Linked DNA regions of Styela clava. The protein of the gene in region 1 binds, or shares a complex with, the protein of each later gene. Links are inferred from orthologs where the notes say so. Each region holds a gene or a part of one and is shown on either strand. Other genes may lie near its edges. The genes, in order: DNA polymerase epsilon catalytic subunit A-like and DNA polymerase epsilon subunit 4-like.

Region 1 (12,419 bases):
TATAACCATAAAGCTGTAAAGTAAAACCAGTTCACCATTCAGCCATTGTTTGTCCAATTCTAGTTGGCCTGGCTTAACAATTTTTGCATTTGTAATTCCTAACCCCCACCTGACTATGTCACCAAAAAATTACGTCACTACGATGTCACAGTGGCCTAATGAAGACGGATGGTCGTCCAAAACGCTACAGGGGTGGTGACGCCGGGGCCACGGCCCATTTAATTGGGCCACGGCCCATCAAGCTATGGACCGCGGCCCCATCAGGAAAAATACAATTATCTTACCAAATTTTACAAAATTGTCAATAGTCGAATCAAAAAAAAAATCGCGGTATGCCACAAATTTTTTTCTTACGATAAGCATTTATATCAAAATAAAGCAAAATACCAAGCTACAGAAAAGGATACTCTTGTAGTATGTGTACCAGGTTAGGGTTAGGACAAAATTCTGTTCAGATTTTTCACATTATAGTTATATTATGAGTTCGGGGACTGTCTGTGTTAGCCAAGTGAATAATCTCTTTGCAAAACTTGATGGGCCGTGGTCCATAGCCTGATGGGCTGAGGCCCAATTCGATGGGCCGTAGAGGTGTCACCACTTCCACTCCCAAAACGTGCAGACGATCACCCGGAATTGAGCAAGTTATTCCTCTGGTTTTCTCGTGCAACGATCTCGATAGGAGAGAGACCGCTGGCGTTAGTGAGTTCGTTATCATCGACGCAGATGGCATTTTGGACTATCGTAAGTATACTTCTTTGGCAAGCTCTATGACGTGATTGTGACGTCGTAGTGACGTAATTTTTAGATGACATAATCCAAATTTGTTATGCTACACCCACCGGAAGTACTAGTGCTACTAAACTATACTAGACCCTAGTAAAGCACAATATCTAACTTGATTAATCAATCAATTTTATTTTGGTCGGTCTGACATAAAGCAAAACAACACCAAACGGACAAACAAAATGCAGAGGACATGGAGGACGAGCATAACTAAGAAGAAAGTTAAAAAAAATATAAGTACCCACCTGTTCACCAAAAACAGTCAAAGAACACAATAAAATAAACATACGCGACGGTCTTACTACTTACTGAATACAGCGCAAAACAGAGGGAAACTGCGCAAAGCAGAAAAAAATCTGCAATGAGTTGGGGCGTAAATATATACTACTACTAAATGTCCAACTCAGCTCGCCGTATAATAAACAAACAAAGGCGATGTTGCACCTCCAAGTGGCGGGCGTCACGGTTGGTGTTGTTCAGACTAGATGTTTAACGACGACGACGCTCCTGCATCACAGCTCGAAAACTAGCCCTGTTCATTGATGACTGATCGAAATATTTGCTGAAGGACAAAGAGATTCGATAAAAATGAACAAATAATTGTGAAAATGAAGACACAGTCTGTCTTGCAAATGACCAGGATGATGTGACAACTTCCTTGTCGAAAAAGCAAGGCATCAAAAATGCGATGCATTGCAAAAAATTCAGTCAGATGTAGGTAAAGTGGTGATGGAAATGAATACTTTGCACTTTATATAAAAAAAAGCTTAGTAGCACGGCATTTTGGTCTCACTCCATCTCAAGTATTGTAGCTTTCCCAGAAGTTTTTCCTCCACTTGACCTATAATTAGGGTTACCATATTTTTGTAACTTCAAATCGGGACGCCTCAAAAGACAACGACCCCTTAGCTGTGATTTTGTAACTTCACTTTTTCCGATTTTACCACATAGGCCTACATTTAAAGCTGTCCCGACTGTCTTTATTGACCATATTGTTATCGAAATTTCATGCGATCCCTGTCCAAATATCGGGTTCATATTCGAAAAATAGGAAGGAATTGACATACAAATAATTCGAATTTAGACTAATTAGTATTGGTTCTACATGCGATACCTCTGCCATCAATGGGAATCAGCGGGAAACGAACGCATTCACCTTCAGTAAGCAGGCTAGCGATGCGCTACACAGAAACAACAGTAACGAGAACATGTTTGTGTATTATGCAGAAAAAGCGGGACTTTTGGCTGACTCATCGGGACAGCGGGACAAAACGCTAAAAAGCGGGACTGTCCCGCCTAAAGCGGGACTTATGGTAAGCCTACCTATAATCAGGGCTGCCACAACGTTCTTATTTTTAGAATTTGTCCTTATTTTGAAGGTCTTTGTTTTAGGGCATGTTTTTGTCCTTATTTCTAAGAAACATCTTAATTTTGACGTGTGTCCTTATTTTTAACCTTATAAATGAATAAACCAGTAAATTAAACTTTGAATTTAGCTTAGATCTGGAACTTCATAAGAGATAAAATGAGTAAACGTAACAAATTTGCTGTGATGATTATGAGAAAGAATTCAACGGCGTCGAACGAAACGAAGGGCCAGTGATTTGCGCACTGCAGCTTTTGTGAATGTGACAACAATCTGGAATGCATAGGTAGAGCAGCAATTTCTGTTAATAATTCAACCCAGAAACACAAGGCTCTGCTCAAGAAATTAATCAAACCAAATTATAAACAAGAGAGCTATGCTCAAATATATGGACACGTAGCGCCACCCAATGGCAATAATTTTGATGACGTCATAGCGAAAAAAAAAGTAATAGCCTTCTGGAGAAAAATTTTATCTTCAACCACTGAAAATTTCAAAGCAATTGGTCCAGTATTCGAAGAGAAAAGCGACTTTTTAAAAACGTGTCAAAGAACAAGAACAACAACAAGGATAACAAGAACAAGAACAACAACAACATAATATTGAAACGATCGTTATGTCCACTACGTGTCCAATAACTTTTTTAAGAGTCAATGAGGGTCTTACTACTTACTGAATACAGCGCGAAACACCGCAAAGAGCGCAAAACAGCGCGAAACAGCGCAAAAGAGAGGAAAACAGCGCGAAACAGAAGGAACCAGCGCAAAACAGAGGGAAACAGCGCAAAACAGGAGACGCAGTCATTACCACCTCCTGCCACGAAAGAACCTCGCGCCTATTTACAAGGTTATGTACCGGATTATAGGTCATCATGCGAAATTTTATCTACCTTTTTGGTGCTCCAGAAGTATGTGCAGCAATATATCGCACAACCTGAATCCGCTACACACACACACACACATACTAATTTCAGGTTGTGCGCCATCTTGGTGCACATACTTCTGGAGGTCCCTTTTACCTAACCCTAACTCTAAAGCCAACCATATCCATATGGAAAATGTTCTAAATTATGGTACCCAAAATGTGTCACCAGCAGGGGCAGACCTGCCATTACAGCATTACTGGCTACATACGTTGGTTTGTGTTTTTAATTTGCTGCCATGGTACTCCAACTCAAAACAAGGTGCCCCGAACTCATTGCAAAATTTTTTTCTGCTTCACACTGTTTCCCTCTGTTTTGCGCTGTTTCCACACTGTTTTGCGCTGTTTCCCTCTGTTTTGCGCTCTTTGCGGTGTTTCGCGCTGTATTCAGTAAGTAGTAAGACCGAGTCAATGATTATACAAAGGCTATCTCAACACATGCAATCAGCTTAAATTTATTTCCATCATCACATCATTGAACATCCGACACTTGATATAAAAGAAAAATATTTTCAAATCATTCATGAGCGAATACCTATTAAACAATGTAACTGAATGTCAAGATGTAACAACACTACTTGAGAAAGTATTCAAAAGATCTGAGCAAATGTATACGCAAGTACTGCAGCCAAAATAATAACAACAAGATATCAAATAGGACACATGAAATACGAAACCAATTGAAGAAACACAGCAGCTAGAACGAAGATTAAGATATATGTGATTACAGTCAAGTTTCCGTACTCCTGAAATATGCGTACCAAGAAAGGAGGACACCGGAACGTAATATGTGTACCACGTTAGGGTTAGGCCAAAATGTCCTTATTTTAGTTCTATTACGAGTTCAGGGACTAACCAAGTGAGTTTCGTAGTATTTGTACCTAAAAGTATGGCCTAACCAGGTACACATACTATGTTCCGTTGTCCGTCATCTTGGTACACGTATTTCTGGAGTACCCAAGTTTTTTTCTCAATAATCCATAGGAATAAAAATTATTATTTTAATTACTAATGTGAATAAATACTGAATATCAAGTTATATTAATAGTGGTATTGATGCTTTTTAAGGCTTTGGTAGTGGTTCTTAGCTGGAGTAAAAACGCAATTTAGGTTCTATCACGTGGACATTGCTACATATTTCTTTTTCTTTGCTGCTTTTCAATCAACTGGAGCACCGATGGATTCCCTGCCCCGCGACCTGCAAAATATGCATCTTTTAAACTGAAAATCTGTTGTCGATTCATTCAATGTATAGGGTGAGGCATAGCTGAAGATTTTGAAGAGGGGGGGGTCGGGGTTTATAATAGTCCCGATGGTCTAACTCTAAGAGGTGTTTCACGCCACGAAAAATTTATATGTATGATATAGTATTTGAACAATTTGAAGACTACTATCTCACACTTAAAGGGGGGTCTGACAGATGTTTGGTCTAATATGGTATATCACATGTTGAAGGTACCAGCATTTGAAGCCCTTCATATGCTGGAGAAGCAATGAAATGTTGTTGATTTTTAAATATCACTACAGAATGTGTTGCATGTAGCCGTATAGCATTTATTTTGTTAAAAAATTCTTGAGCTAATCACCTGTTGTAGACTTTCAGTGTGAAAAAAAAATTTATGAAATTTTGGCTAATCTACTGCAGTCTTTTGTCTCCAAATTTAAATGCTCAATAGGAAATAGATCTAATAAGAAAATACAAATGAATTATTATCCAAAACAATTCTTTGTGCTATACCTGTGCTTAATATTTAACAGACATTTTTATCAAGCCATTGAGTTAAACATGTATAGATATGAATGTTGGTAGCAACGATACAATATTCAGTGCTTATTACAATTTTTTTTCCCTGTACTTTTCTCGTGAACTCATTGAGGTGGGAAATGATACTTTTACTTCACGTGCTTGCTATAATGCTGAATCTGTGATGTACTTATTTCTCGTCCCTATTATTCCATTTTTATCCCGGTTAATGCCCAATAAAAAAAAATGCTTTTTGCAAAAATCTTTCCATTGGACATGTCCGGCTCCAACCAATACATGACCTCTCAAAATCCTAAATTGCCCTTAATAATAACTTCCATAATACCATTGAATTGTCGACTCATTTCTTTATCTTATGTATATTTTATATATTTATATTTATTCTCGCTTGCATCCACCTACGGTACTATTTTATGCCATGATAGTCTTATATACAGCATATAAACAAGGGAGCCTAGATGACTTTAATCGGTCTTGCACACCGATCCGCACAAAGCAATAATTAATCACTGTCATTACAGCTGAAATTTTTTTCGTTATTGTATTATGTTTATAATAGTGTTGACATTGTTTTGTAGCAATGAATCTCTCTCACATGTTGGTCTGTTAGTTTACATGGCTGTTTCAAATGTTTTTTAGACATATCTTCATAAATTCCCTCTAGATGTGTTTCCATGCCAAAACCCCATCTGGTGACAGCAAATCATTCTTCAAAAATGAGTTTCGAGACGTCTGCAATTTTTTTTATTTTAGTTACGGTATTTTGAAATAAATTGCCCACAACAATTGAACCTTGTCTACCATCTAAACATGTATGTGTTTATATATATAAGTATAACAGCCACTTAGACAAGGTATTATTTGAAACAAAAATGCGAATACCCCACAAAACAAATTAAAATTAATCAATTATAACGGTTCCAGGAGAAATATTAATGCATTCAATGAACGTGATGGATTTTGCAGTCGCAAAAAAGTTATTGCTATTGATCACAAATCAATTCCTTAAAAATACTCGACAAACTAATTCAAAATTTTTTGGCACATCCAAAATTATAAATATATCTATGTTGAGGCCATGTTTAGATAATAGCAATAATAGTTATCCAATTTATGTGAAAAAAGTTATTAGTACCAGCCTGAAATCAAGCAATATGGATTATCATGGCAAACGTAAAATACCTCTTATGTTGTAATATGCAGCTGGTGACTTCGTATACAATGACAGAATGGAAAAAAGTTATCAAGATCGGTGGAACTCCATCATAAAACACTTATTAGTTGAAGTTAAAATATGTGTGTTTAATCTATGTTTTTCATACGGACGTCACAATTTCAGGGTGGTATCGCTCACCACATTTCTTTTTTTTGCTGACAGTTTTAGTTGCTCCACCAAAAATTTTCATTGATATAGTGTAAGCTAATTCTGATTTTTGAGATAAAGCATCACTCATCATTCAATTTATATTCTTGCTCACTGCTTTGATCACACAGCATAAATCCTCACACTGTAACTTTTTTTATAATCCTTTCCTTCCTGAAAATATACATATCTCATATCAAAATTTACTGACTTGACAAATCATTACTGTATTGGGTACCAATAAAAACATTTACAACTTACTCCTTTTATGCTGAACATTCGTAGCACAAAGCGGCTCTCTACTACATCTACTCATGGGAGCTTTAAAGTGAATTTAAAATCTTACCGTCAATGTGCTTTCGAGTGCTGGACCGGTCCTAACGCCTTCCCACTCAATTGATTGTTCTTCTATTTTATAATAAGTATAAGTATAAGTTTATTTCGACTCCATAATCAGCAATAGACGATAAAAAAATAGATAAAAACAAAAGTAAAAGTAACTGATTATAGAATCGGGAAAGCGAACAAAACCTAGAGTAAGGTTTGAAACGTACAGATTTTAGATGGAAAGGTATTGAAAAAAGAAGTAGTACGTGTTCGCTCCCAAAAGTAAAAAAAACTAATTAAGGCACGCACGCACACACACAATCATCGAGACATGATACTGTCGGAAGCGAAAAAAGCGAGACTTAAAAGTAAAAAGAAAGGAAAATATACGAACAAATAAAAAAAAAAAATGAATAAATTCTTTTGCCACACCAAATTAATAATTTTATGAGGATTGCCAAATTGGATACCGAATTAGTCAACAAGAGTAATGTATTGTGGATAGAAAAGTATTACTCAAAAGATATCGTCAAGCTGATTATAATTGGAGTCACCTAATGCCAAATTGCCCAATCAGAATTGCCAAGTTGGATGTATGAAGAGGTGGGCTAGACCTGCTTCACTCATCAAATAGAAGCCACAACAAGCCAAATAACGTCCAAATTATTGTAAATACTATTAATCAATAACAGTACCGGTAATCATAAAATTGTTGTCATTGTTTTGTTATCTGCATTCTATGAGTTCTATAGTCAAGTATATCGTGTAATATTCCATGTGCACAACTAACTTGAATATTTATAAGTCACTCACTTAATCTTGACGCGAGACAGCTCGTCAGAGCACAGAAAAACGCAGAACGTCGCACGATGGTTTTCGAAGCAATAATCTGTCAGCATTAAGTCGAGCGTGACGGCGAATTCAACATCGGGACCAAATTTCCGGAGGTACACGGGGTTGGTTTAACCGTAAATATATGGTTCAACTCTATATTTTCTTTCCCCTTTATATATCCCTCTTGCTGTTGAAACATACCGGTAGAAGGTAGCGATAGAATAATTCGAATAGAAAATAAATTCAGATTCGGTATGCATTTGGACGACTAATTAAAAATTAAACGCGGGTCAACCGGCAACACGGTTTGTGAGCACGGATGTGGAAATGCGCTCGTTTTCGCGGTGATGCTGGCAATATTTCCCAAATTTAGCTATGACTCAGTGGTAATTTGGTCTTCCGGGATTTTTAGTTTGCTTAAGACAATAAAAAAATGTTTTTGAAATTATAGATATGCCTCAATCTTTTTAATAAATTTCGTTAGGTCTATTTTGAAATTTAACATTTCTCGCTCCATTTTTCCAAATATTATTTTCCGTGTAGGAACAATAATCGTTTATATTTTTAGTCTTCTCCCGCTGTTCCTGGTTTCCCGCTTTTTTCGTAGCGGTTTTGGCTTTTCGTTTTATTAGTTAGGAAAGCCGCTAATGGTTATTATTTACCATTAATACAGTAATAGCTTGTTCTAAGAGTTAATACACGATAAGTGTATTATAGGATGTGAATTGGTAGTGAAAAATATAGGTTGAAATAGCTTTAACTGACCAAAATGCCGCTACAAAACACCGGAAAATTAGTGAAGGAGAAAGACTGGTCTAAAAACGAAGATGGTGCCGCAAAAAGGTTTGTTTCTTTCAATCATTCAAAGATTTCGAAGTATTTAGGGCCTAGCGAAGTAAACGTCATAACTCCTTGAAATAACACCAAACTGAAAATTTGATGTAAGCAATCAGAAATGTGATGTTAAATTTTGATGTTTTCAAAAAGTCTGTCTAGCATGGAATGAAATTATTGACAAGACGTTTTCAGTTTGAATAAAATCTACTCAATAAAGCTGGTATATTCATTCTATGCCAAACAGGGTGTAGCATTCCATTGCAGAAAACAATAAAAAAAACTTGAGGTTTGAGCAGCTCCAGCATTTATTTCAGTACAGCACACTATACAGATCGAGCGACATTGTCTCGTTTCAGAGAAACCCATTTTGCAGATGATCAGAGACCCCTTCTTCGGGGGACGTCTGGACACTCATAATCCGTAAAAATACAGTAAAATGAAGTTGTGCACAAACTACAAAGAATCGCAATCTGAAAACGTCATCAATTCCTCCGGTAAAAAATAATCCGATTTACCAAAGTAAAAAATTTTCTACCGTGGCATTTGAGAGTTTGGAGCAAAAAGCGGCAGATTTGGTCACGTTACGTCTGCGATTAATTTAGATTATCATTGAGGCAAGCATGGCGCAATATGACTCATCTGCCATCGTAGCAGACGCCCCTCGTTTGTGAGACACATGAAGTTTTTGTTTTATTGACAGGGCATTCGGATAGTGTGCCATATTGTATTTTCACATCATATTTTTGTTTAGCGTCATTTAAGCACTTGCAATGTGTACTTCGTTAGACTCGGTATTAAAACAATGAAACAAGCACACTACTCATCTCTGGAATGGGGGCATTTGGCCCGATTCAGATTTGTAGGATAATGTAAATCAATCCTCCTAGTTCATAACGCTATATATATTACAAAAAATTTAAAATTTGTTTGATTTGAGTAATTACTGCGCCAGTAGATATTTCTTAGTCGAAATAAACAAAACAATACCAAGTTTGCAAGAAACGGTCAAGAAATAACGGCGATATTGGCATTTCAGTACCGCCCGCCTGAGAGGCCAATTTCTCTACATGAGGTTAGCAATTCGCTGACTTTGCGTGTGACTTTTGCTTCTATTCCCAGACTGGAACAAGCGAAATTATCTGAAGAGATGGACGAGAGATATGGCTATAAGAAATTATCTCTTCCGTGTGAGAAGCTGGGATGGCTGATAAACATGTGTGAAGCAGATATCTTGGATGAAGATAAGAAAATGATCAGTGCAGTGGATTTCTATTTCTTACAGGTAAGATATATATTATGAACCAGTGGTTTCTAAGTTGTTGGGGAGCAGAAGGGGAGTTTTTTTTTGCTTCAATGAAAGTAGTGCCCTTAATAATAGGATGCAATTTGCTATTTCAAGTGGTGTTTTTGTGTTTATAAATTGCATGTTATTAATAGCGAAATAATGTTAAAAAAATTCCAGAGTTGGTTTTTGTTCGCCTCTCTTCGTTTGATGTCTCATTTCAAACAACCCCTAATCGCTGACTGTTTAAATAAAAGCTAAGTCACCTTACTTGTTAATATCAGCCAGAGCACTTGTGCAGTTATTTTGTTCAAGATACCAACGCACTCTTCATTTTAACACTGGCCTGTGATATGTTTTTCACTTCCATATTTTTGGAGCCCAGACCACTGGATAATCAAAATTTTAAATCTTTTATCATACTCAAAGATTAAACTAATTGAGTGCTTTAATTCAAAAGGGCGAAACTTACTAAAGTTTTTTTGAGAAAATGAGGAAAATGTACATTTTGGCTTTTAAACAACTTTTTACTAAAATTCTTTTGTGAATATCACTTCTCAAAAATGACCAACTAGCTCAAAATGAAGCTTTTTTTTGTGTTGTTTTCATTCAAAATATTTCCAAAATTTTAATATTTTATATTTTATCTCAACCCTTATTGTAGCAGTATATTATAAGCTTTTTTTGTGCAGGTGACATACCTTTAAAGCAGGAGTGTGCAACATTTTTTGTCGGGGGCCATATAACCAACTTCTGACATCTAGCCGGGCCATTCAAAAAATTCAATATCTTTCGGGTACATAATGAATTAAAAATTTCTCACCACAAAAAGGCTATATCGCTCAGTCTTCAGTAATAAAGGCAAAAAGACGAAAGACTCAAATTTATGGATTTTAACCCCTGTGTGCGCTTTTTTAAACATGAACTGTCAGGTTAGAATTTGATGCTTAGTGGGAAAATATCTGAGTGTTGACAAGGGCCCCACTTATTGTCTTGGCGGGCCGGGTTGTGGCCCGCGGGCCGCCTGTTGCACACCCCTGCTTTAAAGCATATTAATTTGAATTGTAATGATTTTCATAAAATTAATACCTCAATGTATAATTGGTTCCGTGTATGCATAATGTATAATTTTTCATTGTCGGTTGAGGCTTCAGGGGTGGGGGCGGTGTAATGAGTGAATACACTCCTATTTGGCCTCTTCTTGTATTGAATCTCTCAAATTTTATTTAACAGGATGACGGTGAACGATTCAAAGTCTCTGTTCCTTTCAAGCCATATTTTTACGTTTTGACAAAACGTGGGACAGAAAAAGAAGTCATTTCATTTCTGCAGCGAAAATTCCCGAAAATTTTTTCCATCGAAATTAAGAAAAAAGAAGATTTGGATCTACAGAATCATTTAGTTGGATTAAAGCAGACGTATTTAAAATTATCATTCATGCACGTCGACGATTTATCAAGCGTGAGGCAAATTATCCAACGGGCGGTGAACCGTAACAAACAGCGTGAAAAAGGACATTCTGCGTATGTTGAAATGCTTACTAGCACCCTCGCTGGAGAAAAAGTCTCCGAAACTTCAAGTGATAGATCTAAAACGCTGGTTGACCAGTTGGATAACTTACTTGACATACGCGAACACGATGTTACTTACTACGTTCGAGTTTCAATCGATTTGAAAATCCATGTTGGTCTGTGGTACTCCGTTCAATTTAAAGGAAGCGCTATTCCACCCGTGATAACCAAACGAAACGATTTATTAGAGCGGCCAGACCCGGTTGTATTAGCTTATGATATCGAAACGACGAAATTGCCGTTAAAATTCCCTGATCCTGATACTGACTGTATTATGATGATTTCTTATATGATAGACGGACAAGGATATTTGATCTGTAACCGAGAAATAATATCTGCCGACGTAGAGGACTTTGAATTCACACCCAAACCAGAATACGAGGGGAAATTCGAAGTTTTTAATGAACCTGACGAGATTTCAACGTTGCATCGTTTTTTCGATCATATTTTAGACGTTAAGCCACATTTATTTGTGACATATAATGGGGATTTCTTTGACTGGCCATTCGTGGAAGCGCGGGCTCTAAAGCACGGAATTGAAATGATAAAAGAGATTGGATTCAGTAAAGACTCTCAAGGGGAGTATAAATGCCGCCAAGCGTCACACATGGACGCTTTTAAATGGGTAAAAAGAGACAGTTATTTACCGATGGGATCACAAAGCCTGAAAGCGGCAGCAAAAGCGAAACTTCGTTACGACCCAGTAGAATTAGACCCAGAAGATATGTGTCGCTTAGCGAGCGAAGAACCACAAACAATGGCTAATTATTCAGTGTCGGACGCAGTTGCAACATACTACCTTTACATGAAATATGTTCATCCCTTCATATTCGCGCTTTGTACTATTATCCCTATGGATCCGGACTCTGTGCTGCGAAAAGGCTCTGGAACTTTATGTGAAGCTCTTCTCATGGTTCAGGCATTTGATGTGAATATTATATTCCCAAACAGACAAGAGTCAACGTTGAACAAACAGACAAACGACGGACACGTGTTGGACTCGGAAACGTATGTTGGGGGTCATGTCGAAGCTATTGAAAGTGGGGTCTTTCGAGCTGATATCCCTTGTCGCTTTTTAGGCGACCCAGGGGGGTATAATTTTCTACATGGGGAGGTTGAAAAAACTATAAAATTTTGCATCGAAGTCGAAGAAAATATCCCGTTATCCGAAGTTACGAATTATGAAGAAGTTTGTCGGGATATTAAATCAAAATTATTTGATTTGCGGGACAATCCCGCTAGAATTGAGAACCCGATCATTTACCATCTCGACGTTGGAGCTATGTATCCGAATATCATTCTAACGAATCGTTTACAGCCTTCAGCGATGGTTGACGATGAAACCTGTGCGGCTTGTGATTTCAACAAAC
Region 2 (10,815 bases), about 8.0 Mb from region 1:
CCTTGCTGACGACCCAGTCCTAACGTGTGGATCGCTTTGTTAAATTCAAGTCGTTTGTATTCTCGTTGCTTATTATTATGATTTGTTAAAAAAAAAAACTTTTCGATGTAACTAACTGACCAACTTATGTCCATTTTTAGTATCTAAATATGGAAGAAATTGCGAGAAAGCGTATTTTTATCTATTCTTTTGCATATTTCACTAAAAAAATTAGCGTTGTCCATCCGTATATTTCACATATTCGCCTCGTTGTTTTACGTCCGTAACTCAATTCACTCGTCCGCTTGCTGCAGCGACTTTTTCACCTTGATGATATTATTACCACAGAGAATGATAACATTACCAACATATAATTTTTCAAAACTTTTTGGTTCGAGATTCACAGACACAAGTCTGGTCAAGCTTTATTTTGCTAGAGCATAATCTAGCTTGATCAGGTAGGTGTAAGTTAGAATAAGCTTAAATGAAGTATAACCAAATATTTTCAGTTAACCCCATTTTATTGTCGACTTACTAACAGGAAACACAACACAGATTTATAAGAAATATAGAATTTATTACTCTTGATATATTAAGTATATATACAACAATAATTGTAAATTATTCTACAGTAATTTTATTTAGTTAACTTTCCAACATATATAATTCTGTTGATATGAAGAAATAAAGTATAAGAAAACAAATCTACAATTCCTACATGATACACCATTTTTTCACAAAATGTGGAGAATTCCGAATGATAATGTTCTACTTGTGAGAATATTGTTGTGTGTTCCAACTGAAGTCTGTAAATTTCGTCGATTAGGATTAGGGGTTAGGAAAACTTAAAAATAATAGAGTATGACCAAAACTGAAGGAAAATTAAATATGTTAGGCTAGCTGTAACTTGACACATAATCATCTGCACAAACGCCATCAAGTCACGTATGTTGAGTGTCAATATCTATGATTTCCAGCATGAATTGATTCATTTATAATATCAACTACTTTGTAATGATGATTTCAATATTAATTGGAACAAAATCATTCATGCCAAACAGCTCAATTTTTAAACATCAGACCGAGTCTTTCACCCAAAAACAGAAGTTTGTCAAGGTACACCCCGCCTTTTCCTTTTATCCTTTTCACTGAGTGAACGAGCCATATATTCTTCTTGTACTTTCTGAATTTCCATGTCATGAATAAACTGTTTATGTGAAGCTGACTGTGACTTCAATCTCTGTTTCAAATTTGAAATCTCATTTTCTTTCAATGTTATATCATCTTTTTGCCTTTGAATGATTTCTTCATTTTTCGTACATTTGTCGTATAAAAGATCACTTCTTTGAGTTTCTCTGTTGGCTCTGCCAGCAAAAATATATTTCAATGCTTAAATCCCCACAAACAAATAGCTAATTACATAAGAAGTTCAAAAACAAGTGCAATGAATTGTCCATTACCACAAGAGTTCAAAGCACCTTCCAGAATAAATATTCAAACATTGAAGGGCAATAAATATTGGCTATTGTGGCCATATGACATTAAGCTCCATTTTTATAACAACAGATATAAGTATGGTTTCACAAAAAAGAGTAAAAATTTGAATCATGTGCAAATTTTGAAATAAAAACAATCAAGCATAAATCTAATTAATGAAAGTGTTGTAAATATTGAATACCACCTTTTAATGTAAATCAAATATATTAAACATACTCTCATTTATAAAGCGTATATCCGAGTTTTAGCCAAATCAAGCTATGGCTAGGGATGGGCATTTCCAAATACCTCAAAATTTTGGAATCAAATTGGATATTTTTTCAAACCAAATCTTAAAAAATATACAAATGTATGTGTGTTTTTTTATTGTGATGGATCCTCCAGACACATAAATTACTGAAAACATAGAATTCATCACACAGTCAGATCACAGAGTGGTTTCACATAAAAGAAATCTGTTTCATCAACATCTCATTAGAAAGAAAACAGTTGTATGTCAGAAGTGAATTTTAAATATGGTTTCAACAAAAATTTTGAAAAATTTTTTTCAACCTTTGACGGCAAAAAAAAACAAGATGTCGGTGATTCAAAATTTTTTTCTGAATCGATTCGCATAATTTCCCTATCAATATCCAATAGAAATATTCAATTCGATATGCCCAGCCCTAGCTAAAAGTATTAACCCAGACATTCACTCAATGACATGCATATAATATCAACAACTCACTTTTGTTTGACAGATTTGATTAAATTCTCATGATCTGATTTTTCTCTCTCAAGATGTTTTGTAAGTATTTCAATTTCTCCTAATGCAAACCTCAACTTTTCTTGCTCTTTCTCCAGTAGTAACTTTGTTTTCCGATGTTCAAGTTGTTCATCCTCAAATTGCTTGATAGCCTGTAAGTTTAGAAAAACTGTGTACGAAAGACTTCATAACTAAAGAAAACTTTGAAATCAAACATTAGCTGGAACTAACAAGTCATACACATTGCCAAAATTTTAATCAATGCCACATAATTACATATACGGTACTACTTGAATCGTTTCAATGTGATGGCATGCTTACGATAAAATTCGAAGGACTGGGCTTCATAATAACCATGTGGAGGAGTTTGAAAAACGCATTCTTTTTTATAGCAATTAAATTAATTATGTGCTTACATGCTTGCCATCAAGAAGGATCAGAAAAAAATCATGAAATATTAGGATATCCTAATGCATTTTACACTGTACATCAGGGGCCTCGAACTAATTTACCTAGGGGCCACTGGACGCAGAGTCTGGGTGGGTCTGGGCCAAATCAGGTTTTCCCACAATAAAAGCTTAAAACATTCAAATCTTCTCAAATTTTTCCAAACACAAAACAAGTTAAAATGAACAAATTAAGACTACGATAAATAAAAAAAATAACTGAATATTAAAAATAAATAATTAGTGATTGGGACCTGAATTTTGGTGGTATTTAGGTAATCTACTATTTGATGCTACTCGCACTAATTTTACCTCGTCATAAGTTGTTTTCATAACATAGTTAAGTTTATGTCTCTCTTTTGTTTCTAACATTTGTTCTATTGCATTGTGTTGAAGTCCAATCACATCTTGCAATGTCGCTCTTACTAGATCATGAGTCGATGAACAACTTGCTGTCGATGAATCTGTTAATTCAGTCTTGCCAATTGAAGATGAGAATGATGATGAAAGAGTAGTATTTATATTCCCGGAAAATTTTAATGTATGATCTGATAATTCATCCATACTAATAGATCATGATATAACCATAGAAATAAAGAGAAAAAAGTGTAAATGGCAGTTCATTTTGTGCAGTAGCCAGAATCATATCCATTGACCCTGCATATTTTGATACTACGAGATCTCTCATGTCTCAATGTAAAACCTCACCATCTCAGGTTTTTGATGTTCAGAGTGATAGTGTCACAATATATAACATATTACAAAATAGGTAGAATATAAAAAAATAACTCAACCTTAGACATACTAGATTCGTTTCGTTCAAGTGGTGCTAATACATTATATGCACAACTAAGATAATCTTACTAATAAATGGTATAACAATTATGTTGTGCAAAAAAATTCAATTTTGCTTTAACAGAAGTAACTTTAAACTTTCTTCAAATAGATACAAGAAATACCAAATCAAAAAAATATCTAATGAACAAAAGCTCAAGGAAAAACTAGAATGTTTGGGATGTCTAATTAGATGCAGTAGTACAATTTCCAAGTTAATTTTCCCAAATTATAAGCAAGGATGACAAATGCAAGCTTATATCAGTAAATACACAGTAAAACCAGATATGTAATGTGCCTATCACATATTCCACACTTTCATGACATATTGAGCAGTTTAGGCAAAATCCAAATGAGGAACACTTCTTATTAGAGTACAAAATAAAGTATTGCATTCCAATATGATTGCTAAAATCATATCAGTCCAATGTTCCCTCTAAAAATGCCAGTTCGTCATTAATTTCCAGCACCATATCCAAATCTTTCTTCTGAATTGTTTTTCTTTTATTTCCTTGTGTTACTCTATAAACATCTCTCGATAATTGTTCGATAAAAAGTTCGGTTGCTTTGGCTATTAAGAAAACAGATTCTTGACTAGCAATGTTAACATCTTGATCTGCTTTTATCAAAGTTTTTATACGAGCAATAGGAAGTCTGCAAAGTTTTTCACTTTTTTCTCCGTCTTGATCTGTGTGATCATTTGTGTTCTCAATGTCATCATTGGATTCGTTGACTTCAACAGTTTCCTCACTCATCTTTTGTAACTACAGTACAGATAGTAATTATACCTAGACTATCAGACTATACGGTATGAAATTGAAACTGGAAAAACTCATCAATTTTATATTATAATACTATTGATGTGTAAAGTATAAGGCAGTAAAGTATTCATACAAACCATATATGGATAGGCTGAATAAAAATTCCATGAATACATGACGAATAAACCAGTCAAAAATACACTTCTCAATATATCGGTACATAATTCACTCTGTCACTAGTTGCATAGATACCGAATCAATTCCATAGTGACCATTCAATTCAGCAATTGCATCATACCAGCATAAAGACTTTAAAGCAATTTTTATGAACGAACTTGTCACTTCTCTATGAAAAATATCAACTCAATTAAATCTGTATGTTGACAGATTGTGCGGAGCTTAATGCAGTGATGCCATAACACCTAAATAGCCTACCGGTACTCGTACTGTTATATTGTGACATTGTACCAGTAGACTAGCCTAACTCACTTATTGATATATTTTGTTTTTTCTCAGACGATTTTGATATAAACCTAGTGCTATTAAATTCAAATTTATTTTGACATAAACTGAACTTTTATAATAATATAATAAGTTTATTTCGATCTTCCCTGAAAAAAAAATTCACGAAACAAACAACAAACACACAAAACATAAGGATGAACACACAGAACAATGGGGAAAATCGGGACGGGACAACAGGCAAAACCTTTAGTAAGGTTTAAAACAGCAGAAATGCATGTGCCTGTTCACCCATGCAACATGCAACTCAAATAATCGAACAGCAATTTCCGCGTTTGATCAAATATACAGAATATAGGCTATAATATATATTAAAAAATAACAAATAGAATAATATCAAAAAAATTACCAACAGTACATTATTAATATGTTAAATATGTTTTTCATGGTTGTTCCAAGGAAGAATTCATCACCGTTCATTTTTTCCATAATTCCCTTTTTTCATAATCATCATTTACCGTATAAGATTACAAATATTTTTAAGATGAAGGATGTAAAAAAAGTTTTTCCAATTATTATTTATCTAATAATTACATACACTTGTATAGACTTTTTTTTTTTTTTTGTATCATTTGTAGACATTTGTATCAAATATATCCATCCCCCTGACACCCAAAAGCTGAACAGTCTAAAAAACGTAAATTTGAAAATCTATACAGCACCGCGAACATCTACGCCGACCTTCGACCCCACTATGCCTTTTTTTCGGATACGATCTGATATTTTGTAGTTGGTATTCCTTCTTCTTGTTAGACACGAAATAAATCTGTGGATCGTTTTGGTATTGTGTTGTTAGAATTCTTCTTCTCTTGTTATGGAAAAAATCGCCTTTCTCCTCAATTACTGAACCTATCGCTTTAAAATTTACAGTGGTTGAAGATTGTTAGAAGCCTATTACCTTTATTCATTCCTGATTTTTGGACACGTCAGAGTACATAACGATCGTTTCAATATTATGTTGTTGTTGTCGTTGTTATTATTCTCTTTCGCCATGATGAAATCGCTTTTCTCTTCAAATACTGGACCAATTGCTTTGAAATTTTCAGTAGTTAAAGATTGATTTTTTGCCAGAAGGCTATTACTTTTACTTATTTCAAAAATTTCTGTGGACTTGGACTTCAAGAGATTCGTTTTTATGTGTCAGAATAAATAATAGCGACACCTTGTGACGTTTCCATATATTTGAGCACAGCTCTCTTGTTCTATAAATCCTATAAAATTAGATATCTTATCCAAAGTTTGGCTGTTCCATTTTATTCACGAGAACACGTTTTTATATTCCGCCAGCTTGACAGACTACGCCATGGCTGTTCTCGATTTTTATTTTACGAAGATACGAACTCGTGCTCCGCGAAAGTCGGGAGATTTTTGAGAAGGTGATGCCAGGCAACTAACGCACAGATTAGCAGGATAGGAATAACTGGAGGTTTGGTGTTGTGTACTTCTTACTCGTGTCCGGTTCATCTTTTACCTAATACGCTCAATTCCTGTTATCAAATCGCTCCAGTAACCGTTTACTCCCACATGGCACACTCTATGCAGTGGTGGGATTCAAATTTTTTGTCAGTCAGTTCCTTCACAAAAGTCATATAATTCAGCCGGTTCTGTTACAAACAGAACATTGACAATAAGCAGTAATGCTAACCGGTTCGCTGATCTCATAAAATTCCGTGAGACGGTTCTATAGAACCGATGCGAACCGGCTGAATCCCACAACTGACTCTATGGCATGAAATTGTCTTGTTAATACTAAGAGCATAAGTGAACAGAACTTTTATTGACTAAAATATTCAAGTTATACATCGTTATTTGCCTAACAATAAAAAACATCAAGAATGTACTGATGTCCGATGCTACATCCATAGAACAGCGACAATGATCTGTTCAACAAAGGTATAGTTTTCTTTGGAAGAGATAGTAGTGAAGCATGTTCCAAACCTCTTTTATATATAAACATTGGGATTAAAAATAATATGAGTAGGCTATAGCAGCCTGAGTTTCTATTTGTAGCAGAAGAAACGCCATCAAGATCCAGACATTCCAAATTACTACCATTGTTTGCTTTTACCCCAAAATCGAATAAACACGGATGAATGAATATCACTCATCGATACAACCGGGATATAAATTGTGAGGTGTTTCGAATTGTGAAGGGAAGTATAGCAATCGCCATCTTTGCTACTGGAATCATTCCCGTAGTAATCATCGTTACATTACGAATCACATCATAAAATTGGCACTTGACAGAGACTTTAGATTTATCGATCATCGCGCAACGATTTCTTACTTGGACTGTGCTTTCGCGCTAAAGTTGCCGGACCATTGAATAGCTTCTATAGAGTAGGGATCGTTACCAAAACAAAGATCGTACTGTACATGCAATATATCAAATATTATTCAATGGGGAGAACAATGCTATAAGTTTCAATTACTTTACTTGATTATAAATTTCCATACTGAAATCTTGTTTCCGAATTTATTGAAACAAATTTATCGTATGACTGTACACGTATCTAACCTTCAATTAAATTCAATTTTCAAAGTAGAAGTGTTTCGAAAAAATGTTTTGCCCAAACACTTAATCCCCAATCCGCCCGGAACATAAAATACTAAGTTTCGAATTCAAGAACTTAACTTAATTACAAAATATGACCGCTTGACCTTAAACATTGTTGACAATGTAATTGTATATATATACAACATATTATAAAGCGCTGCCATTACGGTAAGATTAGCTTGTTCAAACATTTGTTTAAATTGGCATCAAATTTGCAGTATCATTTTCTATATTTTTTAACAACTACTGGTAAATTGTGCGTTAAATTGTCGTTGTATTAAAAACAATTTACGATAGAAGAACTTGACGCGCACGTTTTGACAACTCAGACAATCTGGTTGCCAGAGTGGGATTAGAATCAAGCTGAAACCAGACCTTAATTTACAATGTGCTTCTCAAAGGATTTTCAAAATTCTGAAGTAGAATCAGAAATAGGAGAATCTCTAAACGTCCGGGTATCGAAATCGCCATTTTATATTTCATTCCTATTTTACCTTCTCACGTGTTCACAGCATCGACTATCCTCGTGACTTCGTGAATCATCATAATCAACAGTTTCGTTTTCATTGAAACAATATAACACCTAAATATGAAATCCTATATCATAAAATGCTGTAGAAAATTCTTAATATCGACCATTGGTGTGTTACCCGCATGTATGTGATTTGGATTCTGGAGTTCCGGTTACAGAACACTAATGTGTAAAAACATTATAATAAATCTGTATTATATTATTATGTTTTTAACACTAATAATAAATAATTATTCTTATACAATTTACTCTCTTTCTTTTATAATTGATATGCGTATTGCAATATATTAGTGAAGCGGTTTCCAAACTTTTTGTTCGTGCGGCGCCAAATTAGAAGGAAAACAACTCACGGCGCCTTAAAAGAAAAACATGACTGCCTTCAAATAAAACTAAATTTTGCGATCGTTAGCGTGTACTTTGGTGATTTAATATATTTATCTGGTATGGAAACAAGTAGATATCTTTCGTTGTGTGTAAAAAGTGGAATCTTCACTCCAAGTAAATTGAAGGTTGTAATCAACCCGAGTTTGAAGTTGACTAGATGATCTTGTCGATTCGCGACGGATGTGCTCTGCACATTTTTTCAAAAATTTCACAACTCTGCTTCCGTCTGTCTGGATTATCTCTATTGAGGGCATGGAATAAACATCAGCAACAGACTGTGGAAGCATGAGGTGAAAATGAAATCATGCTTGCAAAGTGAAAGCGTATGGTAACTATAGTAACCAGGCGTGAAAGAGAAGATTTTAAAACTGAGTGTACTGAACGTCAAATAGGATGCTATAGATTCCTATGTTAAGAGTTTAGTTGGAATCGATATCTGTGACGTGATTTGTTGCAATGACAAAATAATTTGCGTTTTTCTCAACTTTTTAGGATTAAATTTTGTGTTACTTTTTTAACACGCTGATATATGAAAGGATTTTAACATTATCATTGCCTGCGGCCGCATTCTTTTAATACTTGAATAATCTCATATAATCGTTCGATTAGCAGAAACGTTGCCGCCCAAAAATACAGCGAAGTTGTTTATACTTGTCATTTCATGATAAAATCGCCAGTCATTAAAGTACGCTTAACAGTGAATCTTCCGAAAATCAAGACCTGACCTAGTTTATTACTCAGCAATTAAAAGTAGGCAAGTATCAGAAATACTCAATTATGGAATTTATGATATATATTTGTGTTTTTCTTAACAGAAGCATATATACTTAGAGGAAAAAAAGAGAGATTTATCAAGATTTGAGCTTTCCGCCGAAATGTTCAAGATTACAACCTCAATGTCAATCCTTTTTTTTTATCAAGAGCAGAATTTGTGTAGTCAGAATTCAACATAAATTAATAGATGCTCCCGAAGTATGTGTACCAAGATGGCGCACAACCTGAACATAGTATGTGCACCAGGTTAGGTTTATCAGGTTGTGCGCCATATTTCTGGAACGCCAATTACTAATGCACAACTGCAATTTATTTCTACGCATAAGACTAGACTTCTTAGTATATATATTTTCATTTTTTTTTTATAAATTTTTTTCATAAACTGCTACATTAAGTTTAGTTGCAAAAAAATTGATTGTAGATCGAAGGGGTTGAATAATTCAAATTATTAGCAAATCGAATTATTCATTGACTGAGAAAATTCTTCGCGTTTGATCTATTTTAGTCAGAAGAAGCTCGTTTTCGTTAATTTTGGGACACGACATGGACAATGGATTGTATTCAGGGATGGCCATTTCCGAATACTAAACTAATCCGAATACATTCTAAAATAATGTTTTCGAATCTGGAATTCCGAATACATTCTAAAATCGAAAATAACACATTTTTGCTTAGTTTACTAAAACCCAGTAAATTAGGGAAATAAGCTTCAATAAAAATATCAGAATAAAGCCACAAACCAACAATATATGTACACAATGTAATTGATAGTTTATAGCTATCAATAAATCAATAAAAAATAATAGCAACTTGTGACACAGTCAGTTTATTATAATTATTCACTTTGTACAAATGACCATACGAAATGATAGCCAAAGAGTTGTCTGACGCTTTCTACCATTGGTACCAATACCATGATATTACGATAATAGTCAAGTCTATTGACAAAAATACTACTTGTATTCAGATAATTGTGTTTATTTTCTGAGAGTAATAAACTTTATTGGCAATACAGGCAACTGAAACAAGCAACAACAATAGAAAATCCATTATGCCTTTAAAAATTCTAATATTTAAGCACAGAGTATTCTACTACCTACCAGTATATTTGTATATTAATTTATGTGAACCATATTGTTATTATGTGTAACAAATTGTTGTGTTTGAAATTAGAAAAAAAATTAGTAGAGGATAGATGACCACCACTGCCAGCCGCGCAGCCAGGATTTTCGAAATCGGAAATTCCCATTGCCGCCTGTAACACCCACCGCGATTTCGCGCTCGCTAAAAGAGCCGTCTTTTCAGCGTATAGTGATCATTCTGTTACGTAAAATATTCAATCCATGACAACTACGAGATTTTAAAATATCTTTATATAATAATTTAATGTGTCCAACGTAACTCGCGGTTTCTTCTACTTACGTCAAAAAAAGAACATGCTATTCGGTCCACGGCGATCTGTGACCTAAACGTACGAGATAAACTGCCTGATGTATTTAATTTTAATACGTATTTTTGCAATCTTGCCAACTCGTTATCGCCGTTAGAAAAATCTCAAATAATGATATAAAATCCTGTTAAGTGTAGAGCATAATTCATTTCATACAATGAATATACAAGTTTAGCAGTAAATTAAAAATACATATTCTTCGCCGCGATTATGCCACCTGTTAAAAGAGTCGACTTTTACAACAAATAATATAACAACGAATATATATTTTTCTGTTGTGCAAAGTGATGAATTCGTGACCGATACGGGCATATTTAAAATGTCTTTCTTTATT

The links.
Region 2: DNA polymerase epsilon catalytic subunit A-like (region 1) and DNA polymerase epsilon subunit 4-like share a complex: the UniProt entries of both Homo sapiens proteins name them as parts of the DNA polymerase epsilon complex. The link is inferred for Styela clava from reciprocal best matches to the Homo sapiens genes POLE and POLE4.

What each region holds. Positions count from the first base shown.
Region 1 is NC_135254.1:1,495,858-1,508,276, forward strand, and holds the start of DNA polymerase epsilon catalytic subunit A-like, read left to right. Parts: upstream 1-7,946; 5' UTR 7,947-8,128; coding exon 8,129-8,202; intron 8,203-9,315; coding exon 9,316-9,478; intron 9,479-10,711; coding exon 10,712-12,419. UniProt on the Homo sapiens protein: Catalytic component of the DNA polymerase epsilon complex. Participates in chromosomal DNA replication.
Region 2 is NC_135254.1:9,449,509-9,460,323, reverse strand, and holds DNA polymerase epsilon subunit 4-like, read right to left. Parts: upstream 4,672-10,815; 5' UTR 4,257-4,671; coding exon 3,921-4,256; 3' UTR 3,233-3,920; downstream 1-3,232. Other genes in the region: spermatogenesis-associated protein 24-like, read right to left, coding at 1,091-1,343, 2,204-2,373, 2,980-3,231. UniProt on the Homo sapiens protein: Accessory component of the DNA polymerase epsilon complex. Participates in DNA repair and in chromosomal DNA replication.